Linked DNA regions of Drosophila melanogaster. Changing the gene in region 1 together with any one later gene gives a genetic interaction. Each region holds a gene or a part of one and is shown on either strand. Other genes may lie near its edges.

Region 1 (7,128 bases):
CCGAACTCCATCTCTGCACTATTCTCCACCTGGCACAATTCACTGCGATCCTCGACGCGCCAGGCATCTGCGAAGGCCTTGACCGTGGCCAACTTTTTGCCCGTTCTGGAGGTCAAGTCCGTGTTAGGATCACCATCCAGGGTTCCACAGAGACCTCCAACTTTTCCCCACATTTGGGGTCCCGCCTGCACGGACACATACTGCCGATGATCCCAATCCAGCTTGAGACCTACAGACTCGAGATCGATCTGCACATGCTGGGCCACCGGCATGACTTTCATGCCCATAACCTGGACAGGCATTGGAAGCTTCTTAATCGGTGTGGTCAGCTGCATGGTGCCATCTAAAAGGAATTTTATTTTATAAATTATTTCACATGTTTTATCATGTTGGTATCAAAGCTCTTACTCAGGTTTTCAAAAGTGTATAGAACCGATTGCCATAGAATTTTCAAGGTGTGTGCGCAGCCATACCCAGAGCCATAAGGACAAGCCTTCAGGATAATGTCGAATGTACCCGAGACCTTGTCTGTAATTAGCGTGTGTGAACAGGATAGAGGAGCCCTGTTGGGAACAATGGATTAAGCAAACCGATTTACTTAAATTTTTATAGCACTCCGCTTACTTGAAAACCAGACCATCAAAGGTTTTCATGTTAATACCACCCCAAGTGGTGCAAAGTGCTGGTCGTGGGGTTTTGTCGATGACGATATCCAAATTGTTGCTCTGGTACAAGGAATAACTGCTCATGGTGACAACAGTTTCCTCCGAAGACCACCATTCCTAAATTCATTTTCTATTAAATTTTTTTTATATGGAAATGATGCAAATTAACGTACACTTCTTCTTTCCAGATCCCGATATTTTGCGAGCAGAGCAAGTAGTTTTTGACGTTCTGTTTGGAGTTCATAAGCCATTTCCCCACTCATTCCGCGATGATAAACGCCATTCTGATGCGTTACACCTTGCATGGATGATGTGGACCGAACGGTGTATCCAGGAGCTGTAGTATTTTGATTTTAGAAGAAAAAAATCTACCTTTAATTTTATAATCTTAATATCGGACTGATAATACTTGGACAACTCTTATCAACAGTTATGTTGAGGATACTTACGGAAAATACACTTTGGAAGCGGGGCAGGCAGATATTGTCCTTGCAGATAGTTACACTTGTACTCTATGTCAATTCGTCCTTGGATTTTTAATCCCGGTACTTGAGGACAACTAAATGTGCAACGAGCGTCGTCCATTTCGTAGGCACACTTGTAGTTTCCATTAAAATTTGTATTAGTCACATTGCATCTGTCAATGTCTGTAAAATGTAATAAGAAATTTAAAAAAAATTAAAAATTTTTCAAATACGATAACAAAAATGTTATCATGTTAATATTTTGAAGTATAATCTGTTTACTTACTATATTGACAATGGTCTCCGCGGAACATCTTAGAGCACTGACAGACATTGAAACTAATGCACTGACCTCCGTTTTGGCAGGCGGGCGCACAAGTAGCTGAAAGAAAAAGTTTGAAACAAAAAACTCCGCATTTTTTTGAGGTTTCTGCTCACGAGCACAATCTGGAGTTTTGGATAGCCCAGTTTTAGTGTGCACCCACTGGCCATTGCGGCACTCAATGTTCGTAATTCCGCTGCCGTCTGGAAACTGAAATCCTCTCATGCACTCCGCGTGGCACATACTTAAAAAATAATTGGATTGTAGTATCCCTATGTAAAGCCAGACCCATAGAGCTCACTTGTTCTTGCAGGATACTTTGGAGTTTTTCGGTGCCTTCGGAAAGGATGCACATATGGACTTCTTTTGCTGACACAGCGGACCGTAGTAGTTCTCCGGACACTGGCACACTCCGGCGGAAATGCAGATGCCATTGTTTTGGCATGGAGGTGTACATTGTGCCTGACAGGGTGGCACCTCCGCAAACACGGAGTTGCCTATGATCCATCCATCATTGCTGCAGAACATCTCCAGGACTGAAACGTCCTGTGCGAAACTATAGCCAGTTGGGCAGAAGACTTTGCAACGACCATTGTGGCATTCAGACTGAACATTGGACGGCAGTTGGAGGGCTGAACATTTTCCGAAGGCTGCTAGAAAGTGTCCTCCGCCTCCGTAAAAGTTGCCCTGACTTCTGTTGAAGATTTTATTTTAATTCTTCGGATACACTTCATAGTTTTTTTTTTTATAATTACCCCTGGCCACCCATGCCTAAAAAGCCCAAGGTTTTGGTAAGCAGTCCTCCAGCGGCATGAGACGTCTTTATCCCGCCATAACCACCACCTCCACCTCCACCAACACCATATCCTCCTCCGAATCCACTACGGCCTCCTTCAGAACCGCCATAAGTGTATCGTGCACTATAAAATAATGTAATCCAGTTAAATAATCCCCCGCTGAACTTGGCGAATTATCGCGGTTTCTTCAGACTTATCATTACCTAACTGCTGGGGCTTTGAGGATGTTGAAGCTAATGTGGCGTTCGTTCCGTTCGTTCTCCTTATCGACGACTTCCGGTGCGGCCTGGAGCAGCGGGCTAAATTCGCAAATAATCATTAGGACACAAAGCTTAATTTTACGCAGCTAGCAATTAGAATGTTGAAAGGACAATATTTTCTAGGATTTTAGCGAAAGGACTTATTTTTACAGAATCGTATTGGTAACTTTGAAGACAACTTAAAAAAAAAACACTTTTTTCAATATGGATGCGAGTTGTGAAATCTTTTTCCTTAAGTTACAGTTTGTTTATACTTAATGCAACGACATTAATAAAAGTAAAGTTTCGAAGTAAAAGTATTTCCAATTTAATAGAGAGTTTGTTTTGTGTATATATAAATCTATTTATATCTTCATTTTTTAACTTAGATGGTTTATTCAATTGTTATAATTTAAGGATATAACAATATTATCGAAGAAAAATCTGGTAAGACCCACAGTTCACATGCATGTATGTATATTAATGTTCACAATGTATTTCTCCAAAATAATTATTTTTGAAGACGTATTTATTCCGCTTTACGAGTATTTATTTATTTGCACAAAAACTGTAACTTTCTCATCCACTCACTTGATATCCTCGTCGTCATCATCGGTTATTATAATGTCTCCATTCTCTGTCAAAACAGATGAAATAAAAAGCAGCCACAACGCCACAAAAATCACTTTGTTAGCCATTTTGTTAGGCTAATCGGAAATTGTTGGTTTAATTGTATACACAGGAAAATCCTGTTGATAGTTAGCACTGGTAATCCATTTCTGCAAGGACACTGCCAAGCTGTTAGTCCTGTTTAAAATCCAGCTTAGAACTCACTTTTAAAAACTTTTACACTTAGCACTTTTTCACTGTAATTATATCCACTGAACTTGACGATTTCGATGCGCGATCGCGACTAATGTTCCCCATGAATGGGGAGCCCCTTTTATAGGCCCGATTCCGTAGCTGGTTTATCAGAACACTCGGAATTGTTAGGCTCAAGCCCACTATTTATCCACGATCCGCAAAAAAAGCACCATCATCAGCTTATCGGCATCGCCGTTCTTAAATTAGCAAAGCGAATGTAACAAATCTGTGCCAAGTTTAAGCTGATGCTAATGCCTTCCTGATAGCGGCATTTCCGGGACCTATGTCATAATTTTACTAGAGTCCACGATGGGTGTAAGAATTTTCTGACTTGGGGTAGCCCCCTCTGCTGATATGTCGCCATTCAAAAGTTATATGGTCAACGAAGAGCTGCTGGATGTAAAGCGTCCTACGCAGAAACTTCTCCAATGGCATTGAACTTGGGTGGTGGAATATAATCACTTTAATGTTGGCCAAGGGTGAACTAATTTCAAATATTCAACGTACTACATTGTGACCGTTAAAAGTTATCGGTTCAAGCAGTGCAAATGCTGAATGCAAGCAGTTTACGGTTCATGCGTTCGAGCAGCAGCTTGTCTCGTAGCTCGCTAGAGGGCGCATTGGTGTCAAAATTAGTAAAGTGTATTGAACCTGCCTACAGAAATAACTTTTGGGTACCAAATTTAATTAATGCACGTATTTAAAACAATGAAAACGTTTAAAGTGGAAAAAATCTTCAGATTTACTTCAAAGTAAGCCATCGAAATTAGATTTATGGTTGAAAAACACTGAATACATTAGAAAATATATTTAATATATTCCACACTTAAATAAATAATATTACTAAATATACTTATAATTATACTACTGAGCAAATACATACTGCTGTGATATATATAGATAACACTTTTAAATTTCATACTTTCCTCTCTTGGCTTAGCTTTATATTAGCTTAAGCTATACGTGTCCATTTGTGAGCAGGATAAGGTTTTCAATTAGACCAAATAATTCCTCATTTGTGTTGGTCGGTTGGCTGGGCTTGTTCTTAAATTATGTTGTTTGTACAAGTCTCTCGGTTTTATATACAACTCCTTGAAATCCTCACTGCTGACATGTCTGCTAGCGGGTCCCAGATATATTCCGTCTCCACTGTGATTGGAATTTTCTCTCAGTTCAACATCAGGTTCGTATATATTCTCGATTAGGGTTTGTCGCGATTTTACTTTTTGAGTCCGCATTTCCTGAACAGGTTTCTTAAGCCTAGCCCGTTGCGAAGCAAGTCCGGTGCAGCTCATGATAATGGCGAGTAGGACACAAAATTCAATCATGGCCAATATTAGACTGGCGCCAAGAAAGATGCTGTACTGTTCGCGATACCAGTTGTCCAGATGGGGCAGACATGACTCCGTGTGGCGTTCCCTTTCGTAGGACAATCGTTCCAGAGACTGACACATCGATTCATTGGCCGGCTTGGGGTCCAGATATGCCATGGAATGTCCGGCATTCTTAAGAAAACAGCAACTTAGCGGCACCGGCCAATTCCTTTGTCCATAGCCCTGTAATCTCCACAATGATGTGTCGTAGTCCAAGGAACTTCTCATCCCACAACATCCGAACCGGACCTGTGCCAAATCCAAGGCATTGGTAAACTGCTCCTGCCCCGGAACTCCATAGTTGCTCTGCAACGATCGCACCATCTGAGTCTCATCTAAGCTGATTCCCAGGCAATGTGGCCACAATGTGATGGCCAGGCACAAAACCGATTCGGTCAGCAGGAGCACCACAACGCTCAGGAAGTATATGGTTAGAAAGCAATAGGTGTGAAGGCAACTGGCCCAGAAACCCACAACGGCAGCCAGAGTAGCCACAAATCCCGCAATCGCCACACCCAGTGCTATATAAAAAAGCAGCGGCTGCGGAAGTGAGCTCAGCCGATCGCTGGATGCAGCCAAAAGTCTAGAGAGCAGAATGCGTTTGTTATCGGAGAAGATATATAGACCTGATACTACCAGCAGCAAGCCACATATCTGAAAAATGCAATTAGTCAATAAATATAGCATATAGGAACTACTAAACTTGCTAAAGCAGGAAGCTATACAACTTTCACTTTAGTTAGTCACTCACCAAAAACAAAAAGTTACATAGATTGAGCACAAATTTGTAATTAAAACAGCAGGCCATGTTTACATCAATGCGGGTGTGGGTCTTTCAAACTTAATTAGAACCAAACGTTTTATGACGAAATGCAATTATTGCGACATGTACAAAGATCAGTGATGGCGATGATGTATATCTGGATGTACTGCATGCTCAACAGTGTAGATGTGTAGATACTCCAAATCCGAAACTTCAAATCAGCACCCGTGTATTTCAATTCGGATATATTCAATGCGACGCCATGGACAGTACAATTTAAACTAAACAGTGCGGAGATGCAACATTCTGTGGCAAGTTCAGAGAAGCGAAAGTAAGAGACCACAGAGAATTCGCTCGTAACTCTCTACAAACCCCATGATGGGTAACTCTCATTGAAACTTTTCAAGCGTCGCGCTTAGCTTAGCAAAACAAAACCGAAAACGCTGTCCATCCACCAAAAATTTTAAACTGGAGACTGAAAAGAGAAACCCATGCATGGGGCGCAATGCTCGTTGCTCTTATTTGATCACTGCCACCATCTCCGTGTGCAACCATTTGGAACCGTTTTCCAACAAAAGCCGACAAGCAACAAACAATTACACGAGTTGAACTTTAATTATTACTAGATACCGGAATTTATGTAAAGTTCTTTTTATGGATCACAATGTATTGTGGTTAAGATATGTTTGCTAAACCCGTTACTCATCGTTTTACTTCCCACTTTTTTTTTTTTAAGCTATAGCTTATTATTGAAAGGGTATATAAACTTCGACTGGCCAATGCTAGTTTCATTTCTAGTATGTAAGGGTATACCTTACGGTATATTGATTTTAAAAATATAACATATTACTTTAGCTGTAAATCCTAGTTGTAAATCAATCCTAGTAGGCTTGACCTAACACTTCACCACAGACTAGGCCTTGGCAAATTAAAATCTTGTTTAAAATAATTTGTGTATATTTAAAATCATTCGAACTGATAGAGCCATTTGGAGCGAGTGAATGCGAACCAAATTATGCTTAAGATTCCAAATCGGCGCAAGATGCCTGTGTCAGAGCAACAGCCTCGAGTCATCAAGATAGAGCGACCAACGACTGGAAGGATACTAGGTCCTTTGAACGTGGCCAGCATGCAGCAGCAGAACTTCTTGGCCAAGAACAACCCAAAAATATCCGAAGATCTGGGCAGTCGCTTGCAGACTCTGCAGAGACGTGTCCAAGAGTGGAAGTCTTCAGGCCAAGTCTGAGATAAAACGTAAACTTGGGGATGATGCAAAAATAAATATTGAACAAATCGAAGTAACTTAACTTAACCAAATAAACAAATAGTTAAAGCATAATATTATAAAATATTGCTTCAATGATATACAAATTTTGGTTGTTATTATAGTACAAATTATGTTCATTTGCGTCAACTTTTGTAAGCCGAGCTTTCTAATCACTTCTAAATCCAATCCAAAATATTCCACACCTGCATAACACTCATTTTTAATGATAATTAAATAAAATGTAAACTTGACTCCTATAGCCAAATTGACTAGTTTTCAGAGGTTACCAGTCGTTTGAACGTGGGGTGAGTGACCTACTTAAGTGGGCGAGTGCAATTAATAAGTAGTGCGTTGATTTTTATGGCTTCATTGTG
Region 2 (7,128 bases), on another chromosome or scaffold:
CTGATCTCCACCTGTCATCCGCGCAGCGAGATATACGCCATCTTTCCCATTACGGTGCTGGTGCTGATCCTTTGCTGCTCCTTCCTGTAGTCCTCCTGATCCAATATTATTAATATACTATTGTGATATTTATGGTGAGGTAACTACCGGGTGATATACTCGCTTGTGAGTGTGTTAACGTTATGGCCGGCCCCAAAACGAGAGCTTTTAAAATAGCCATAGAATATTCCATATCGGTTATACACACACGGAATGAACAGTCTGAACAAATCGTTATCAATATTCGTAGATTTTATGCTAGACTAGAATGTAGCCTAAGACGCAAGCATTTTTTGGTCTACAAATGAAAATGGGAAAATAGTAAGATAAAATATGTAAATTGTATATCGTGTACAAATAAATGTAGATACCAAGTAATTTTAAGATGAAATTGTAGTACTTATCAATTAATTCAATTATTCTCATTTTATAAACGACTTTGATCTTTTTGTTTACCTGAACACATTTTAAAGACAATTCTTATGTAGTCATTTGAAGAGGATTAGTTTTAATGCTTTTGTTGACTTTGTATAAGTGATTTGAATTTTAAGGAAATTTTCATTAGTTTTTTAATAAAAATAAAATTGATTGTAATCAAGCGTTGTAATTTTTCATTTTATACTCAATGTCTACATTTTAACGTTGCCGCAAAATATTTTCCACTGGCTTCAGTTTTAGGAGAGAAAAAAAATTTTGTTGATTCTAGTTATTTTAGATTAATTTGCACACCACTCAAAGCTAATTTGCCGATCATTTGTGTGAGTCTTTTCCTAATTTGGCCACGGGAGTAATGCAAATATTTACATAAAATTCATGTACACATACATGCCTGGAAGAAATGAAATAACATTTTCATTAAAAATGAATAAATTTACTGTCTAGTCTTTTAGTTCATACACTCAATTGAGCAGCGTAAACAAAGTGCCTTGGATTATCCGATTAACATAGTTGCATTAGATTAAGTTATAAAAGAAAATAATAAAATAGTAAAAACAGTATTCAGTAAAAAAAAAATTATTTTTAAAGAAGGGAAAAAAAATGAAAAAAAAACATCATTCAAATTTAGCAGATCGTTGGGAACGTCAGCAAATGAAAGCTGATTGCTACGAATCTAATGTTGATCTACACTGTATATACTTGTGGTTGTGTAGATAATGTGTAAGATTACAGTAAAAAAAATAAAGTCAGTCAGCGATTTTTATACCCGTTACTCGTAGCTTAAGAGGGTATTCTCGACTTGTTGAAAAGGGTGTAACGGATCTTGACACGCGGCATTTTTATTTCGAAACATCACGCCGACACTTTTAAAACATTTTTTTTGAGTAACGGGTATCTGGTAGTCACGAAACTCGACTGTAGCGTTTAAAAAACTCCTGAACTCTCATTCGTTGCTCACTAATTAGAAGACAGAATTTGCCCTTATCAGAGTTGTCAGATAATGCTAACAAGAAATACTATCTTATCTGAAGTGATCGATTGCAAAAAGTTATATGAACTCATTAACCAGCCCCACATCAATAAATATTTATTAAAGGCATTCGTCACCAATTGCATTAATTTCGATTTCTGGGTTTAAAAATATTTAACGTATATTCACTAATTTTGGCTGACAACATGGAGTTACCTTAATAAATTTTCAAGTAGTCTATGTTCAGGTTTCGAATATGAAGTATTAGAAGTCTTTAGCATCACAGAAGCCGGTTGTTAATGTACAATAGATAACGAATCAAACAAAAACGTTTCTTAACGAGTTTGCGCGTATACATAACTTGTTTAATTACAGTTGCGATATCGCAAATTTTTAACGTACAATGCAAAAAATTTCTTGCATTCAAATTTGATGTTAGTTATATTTTCTAATAACGGTTTTGGACAACTATTTTTATAGCTTGTGAAATCTTACTAGAAAAAAAAAAAAAAAAAATACAAAAATCTTATATTTTTAAACGGGGTTTTCTCTATAACTTGGTAAAAAAAAGGTGGCACATCTAACGAAAAAAAACACTGTTTTATACTGCTCATAAGCATACCTAACTATCCCTATCATAATTTTAATGATTTTCAAAAATCAAAATTTGAACAAGTTTTCGGTAATTTTATATTCTTTCCTTTCTAGATTGTGATTTTTGGAGATATTTCAGACGTACAATTATCAATTTATATATTATGCACATATATTTGTATTCATTCTTTGAGAAAGTAATATTCGAAAGAGTGGACACAAATCTTAGAACCAACCCCAAAAACAAACCCTTAAGATAGTTTCCAACAGCTGTTTTGCCAAATATATGGTGACTAGTAGCGAGTGATGAGAGAAACAGGCCATTGATAAATCGAAGTCACACCACTTATATATACAAACTACATATCTTACCTATAATATTTTAGTTTAATAGAAGTTTTTTTTATAATTTTCAAATCACTCTCGCTCTTTATAGAAAGCCGGTACCGGTTTACACCCCCTTTCCGACACAAGCATATAAAAAGAACAGCGAGAGAGAGAGAGAGTGAGCTTTGGTTCTCTCACTTAATTCTGTTGATTGCACAGGTAGAAACAAATAACTTGTATACTGCGATATTTAAATTTATTTGTTTTTGTACTAATTTGTACTATATTCTGGTTAAATATGAAATAGTTAAAAATACTTATTGGGAACTGATATTTTAAATAATATATTTAATAATACTTGGTGTAATTAAATTCAAATTTTTTACTTTTATTGCACTAGACAGCAATAATAGCTTATGTTTCAACTTCGATCATAATCATAAATTTTTTTAATTTACAACTTTCAACATTTTCTTGCCAGTGTACTCTGTTCTCTTCGTTCTCGCTCGTGCTCAGTTTTAGAATTCGCGGCAGTTGTTTTTGTTTGTCCGGCGCGTTCGCTTGCTTCACTTATGCGCTTGTTGAAAATCAAGGAAAGGGCGCGGAAAATAAGTTTAATTAAATATTTCGAGTGGCTCGACTAACACAGCAATTAAGCGAATGTGCAAAACGTGAAAGCAGTTGTGAATAAAACGCACTCATCGCGAAATTAAAAGCTTTTTGGGAGCGTCCTGCGATGGAGAAACGCGTGAGGAAAAATCAATTCGTAAGTAAATGGGCGACGCGAAAAACGGTGATTTAAAAATCAAATGAAATGAAACGCGTGCGGAATTTACCTGAACGGAAAACTAATCGGTCAGCAAAAATTGCGTTTTGTGCCAAAACAGAAAGCGCAATAAATATAATATACAATTGCGCATATGGTGTATGTACATAGAGTGCAAGAAGAACGTGACAAGGAAGAGCAAACGAAGGTGAAGAGTGTGAATAAAACCAAAACAATAAGAACGAACAAGTTTAAGCCACTGTTACGGCAAGTAACGCACGAGAATATACATATGTACATATATTGGTTTCCAACTGGAAACTGAAATTGACTAGAAGGAAGTGGAAGGAAGAATTGCCTGACGGCCTTTCCTTCCAGTCCGGCCACTCACACTACCAAAGCCCCTTGCTGCAGGATGTTAAAATAAAGCTAATGAAGAAAAGAATTGAGAACAGTATAAAAAAAATAGCTAAACTCTTGGGTCCCCATTCCTAAAATATTTGTAAACTCTGATCCTATGCCTAAAAATTATAAAATCAATGCAAAAAGTTTAAATTATAAGGTACAGCATTTATTAAATTTAACGTTCTGTTCCAAGTGTGTTTGAGGCATTTAAGGCGACAACTCTAATATGTTATCTGTTTGAGGGTCGTTGGTCTTGAGTATTTTTAATAACCCGCTAAACACAAAGGAATATGTTGATAACTAGGCGAGAAGTGGCTTCCCAATTCGTGATGTCTTATCCTGGTGGTTGTTGTTGTCTCTGTTAATGTAATGACATTCCCCAAACAGCTGCATTTTGGTTTCTCGCTCTCCGGCTCTCTTCAGTTGTCATTTCCGTTATGCCCTGCCATGCACTCAGCCCTCCCCCTCTATTCCCTTTTGCATCCGGGGGGTGAATTAACTGCAGCCGAAACGCATTTACTTTAATTTATTTGTGGTTCCAGTGGGCGTCACTTTCTCTCCCTCTCATTTTTATCTCGACAGAGAGAGAGAGAGCAGCACATGCTATTGTGCGTGCATTTGTATTTGTATTTCTCGTCTCTGCTCTCTGATTAGCCTTCTCTTGTTATTGTTGCGGGGATAATTCATATGCAGATTGCACCTAGTGATTGCCATTCAAATTCAACTGATAGTGGAAGCTGGAACTTGTACTATAAACATACATATGGTTCTTCCTGCTTCAAGTAAAAAAACAGTAGCCATTTCCATCAGTCATCAAAGTAATGAACTCTCCTTGCAACATATGGGACTGAATAAGAATAGTACTTTATGCTACTTTTAGCATGTTTTCGTTTTCCAGAAGAGAACTACCTAGTAAATGAGTTTTAATAATTATGAATGACTCTAAAAGACTGATCCTTAAAGAGCTCCTTACTTAATGTATTATTACATTATTTTTAAAAATATTCAATACCAAGTCAAATAGTTTTTAATGTATTATTTCTTGTATTGGGTGTATTTGTTCTTAAATGTGTGTTATTTCGTAAAGCCAAAAATCTGAATTTGAATAGACTAACCCAATAACCTTAAACCAGCTGTGCCATGCCCCGCGGGCTATACTATAGAATATTGTTCAATGGCCCCAAAAAGGTGCCATTTCACGTGAGATTCAGGTGAATAGCGCTATACCTATTCATTAATCAGCAATCAATTATCTATCAGCAAAGCCTTTTAATCAATATTTAATTAAGAACTCACATTCCGACTTTTCTTCTTATACATTGCTTTTGTCGATGTCGTTTGAACAACAGAGTAATAGATATTGTTCATTGGGACAGAAAATAATAGTTACTTGAGAACTCTTATAGATAAGCTCTCCGTAAAGTATACAAAATTTTAAGGAATGGAATTCTTTAAGGTTGAACTAATGGCATAATCACTTTTCTCATTCGTTCGTTATATGAATCATATTAATATTTCCATTTTCATTTGCTGTATTGTACTATTACACGATGAACAAAGAAACAGAGTTTTAAAAACGAATGCCATGTTTTTTTTTTGTGCCTGATAACAATTCCGCAGTCCAGTTCCACTTTGATAAACAGCTGCCGACATCATTGTGCCAGTCCTTACTGTATTGTTTATCTGAAAGGGAAGTTACTGAAAGTGAATTGAAATAAAACGAGAATCATAGAGCCAAAACATTAAGTACAGGGTACTTTGCTTATACGGGCTCCAAAAATAAAATACAATAACTGAATTAAAATATTTGCGGGATCGCAGAGCGTGGCTGATTTTATTGACCGCAGATGAAAAGCGGCCAAACAAAACAATTGTACAATTGGTTTGGTTTCTGGTTTTAGTTTGTCTTTCTGGCCCATTCTGTTTTTACATTTTTTTTTTTAAATTACGATGAATGGACTGTCACGCTAGTCTGAGTATAGGGCAGCAAAAAAGCAAAAGGCACTCTATTAACTGAATGACATAATAATAAATTTAGTTTAGCTTAATTTCTATTAACAGGTGCTCCATTACGCGCTCTCGATGAATTAGTTAAGAACTAGATTATTATTATTATTATACATATATAGTGAATAAGAATTTAAGCTACATAAGTTGACTTTTGGGAAAACTTAACTACAATATTAAGCTGGTTTTGAAAAACCCATAAATATAGTTATGCTTATCTATTTGAGTTATGATGAGGTAAACGTTTTATGTCAAGGGTTCTACACACACACATTGAGGGAATTTTTTAAGCTTTACAATGCCACAAAATATTTTTTTTTATTATCTGTGCAAGGTACTACATCTTTGACGAGACAAACTGGTGTTATAATGTTTTATTATCTTTGGCTTTATCTGAGTACGCCACAAACACCGAAATTTCAAAGATAACAACTAAAATACGTAATAGCACGAATAAAGCTAATCACCATGGATATCAAATAGATCACTGAAATAGAATTGCCAGACAGTATGAATTATATACACGTTCATATTCGTGCTACCGAACAGTATGTGATTATATAATTTTCTTTTTTGCTCGACAAGTAATTTTTCAATTGGCCGCTGCAGTGCATGGGAATAGTTTTTGGATCGGCAATGGATCTAATATTAGAACATTTGTAAATACAATATTTGCCACGATTCGCAAACTTTTGTTTGTTATTCACTCCACGCAAATCGGGCATCCCAAAGGCGTTCGAATCTGATCAGTAGACTACAATGATAAGCAAATACGCGGTTAAATTGCGTTTAATTGCTATTGTACATTAGATTGGAGCGGCGATGTCGGTCTGACATGTTGTTCATGCTTAAATTTAATTAATTTGCAAATTACAATTGCAATTGCAAAGCGCCAAGCAAGTCGGGCAAACACACTGGTCTCTGATGTGCCACCCACACAACCTAGCATTGCATTCCCAGTTTACAATTGATAATTGCTGGGCTCAGGGGTCTATCTCAGATTTTCAAAATCCTTGACCTGGTGACTGCATATCCTCGGTGTGAATTGGTCTGAAGCTGTCGAAGTCATCGATGCGCAGCGGAATGGCGATGAGTTTAGCCAGGCCGTAAAATACGGCTAAGCACAGAAAAATGGTCAGAATCATTTGGCTGGGCGGCACTAAAAAACACATAATGTTTATAAAAACCTGCTTGTTAAATGTATGAACTCAGCAAACCCTTGCCGGTGAACCAAGGCAGTTTAGGACTAGACGATATCATTTTTATCACACTTAACACTTTGATGACAGAGTTCCAAATGAGATATAAAGTCAAATTGAACTATCGACTTTAAAAAACCACCAACTGATCAAACAAAAGCTACGCCTAACCAACCATTCATACATACAGTGATCCCTAGTAAAAAAGGCAAAAAGTGAACAACAATAGCCCAGAAGTGGAACTACGTTCAATACGACATTTGTTATGTTTAAACTTTTAAAAAGTATTGTAATATACAGTATCTATAGATACTGCTAATACTGCTAATGTTATTGCCAGGAATGAGTACTTCAAATATGCTAGAGCAATTCTCCGAAATCAT

What was found.
Region 2: of Hml (region 1) and C1GalTA, changing one suppresses a phenotype caused by changing the other (phenotypic suppression), as found in Drosophila melanogaster (one study listed by BioGRID).

Annotation. Positions count from the first base shown.
Region 1 is NT_037436.4:13,842,265-13,849,392, reverse strand, and holds the start of Hml (hemolectin), read right to left. Parts: upstream 3,340-7,128; 5' UTR 3,186-3,339; coding exon 3,079-3,185; intron 2,548-3,078; coding exon 2,452-2,547; intron 2,372-2,451; coding exon 2,207-2,371; intron 2,146-2,206; coding exon 1,753-2,145; intron 1,696-1,752; coding exon 1,568-1,695; intron 1,512-1,567; coding exon 1,416-1,511; intron 1,313-1,415; coding exon 1,115-1,312; intron 1,003-1,114; coding exon 839-1,002; intron 783-838; coding exon 625-782; intron 564-624; coding exon 409-563; intron 344-408; coding exon 1-343. Other genes in the region: Tsp68C (tetraspanin 68C), read right to left, coding at 4,347-5,378, 5,476-5,532; CG8750 (uncharacterized protein), read left to right, coding at 6,503-6,733.
Region 2 is NT_033779.5:8,946,984-8,954,111, reverse strand, and holds the start of C1GalTA (core 1 galactosyltransferase A), read left to right. Parts: upstream 1-2,895; 5' UTR 2,896-3,134; exon of another isoform or gene 3,135-3,342; intron 3,343-6,240; exon of another isoform or gene 6,241-6,550; coding exon of another isoform or gene 6,551-6,705; intron 6,706-6,763; coding exon of another isoform or gene 6,764-6,806; exon of another isoform or gene 6,807-6,846; intron 6,847-7,128. Other genes in the region: CG31886 (uncharacterized protein), read left to right, coding at 1-90; CG46397 (uncharacterized protein), read right to left, coding at 6,551-6,705, 6,764-6,806. UniProt on the Drosophila melanogaster protein: Glycosyltransferase that generates the core 1 O-glycan Gal-beta1-3GalNAc-alpha1-Ser/Thr (T antigen), which is a precursor for many extended O-glycans in glycoproteins.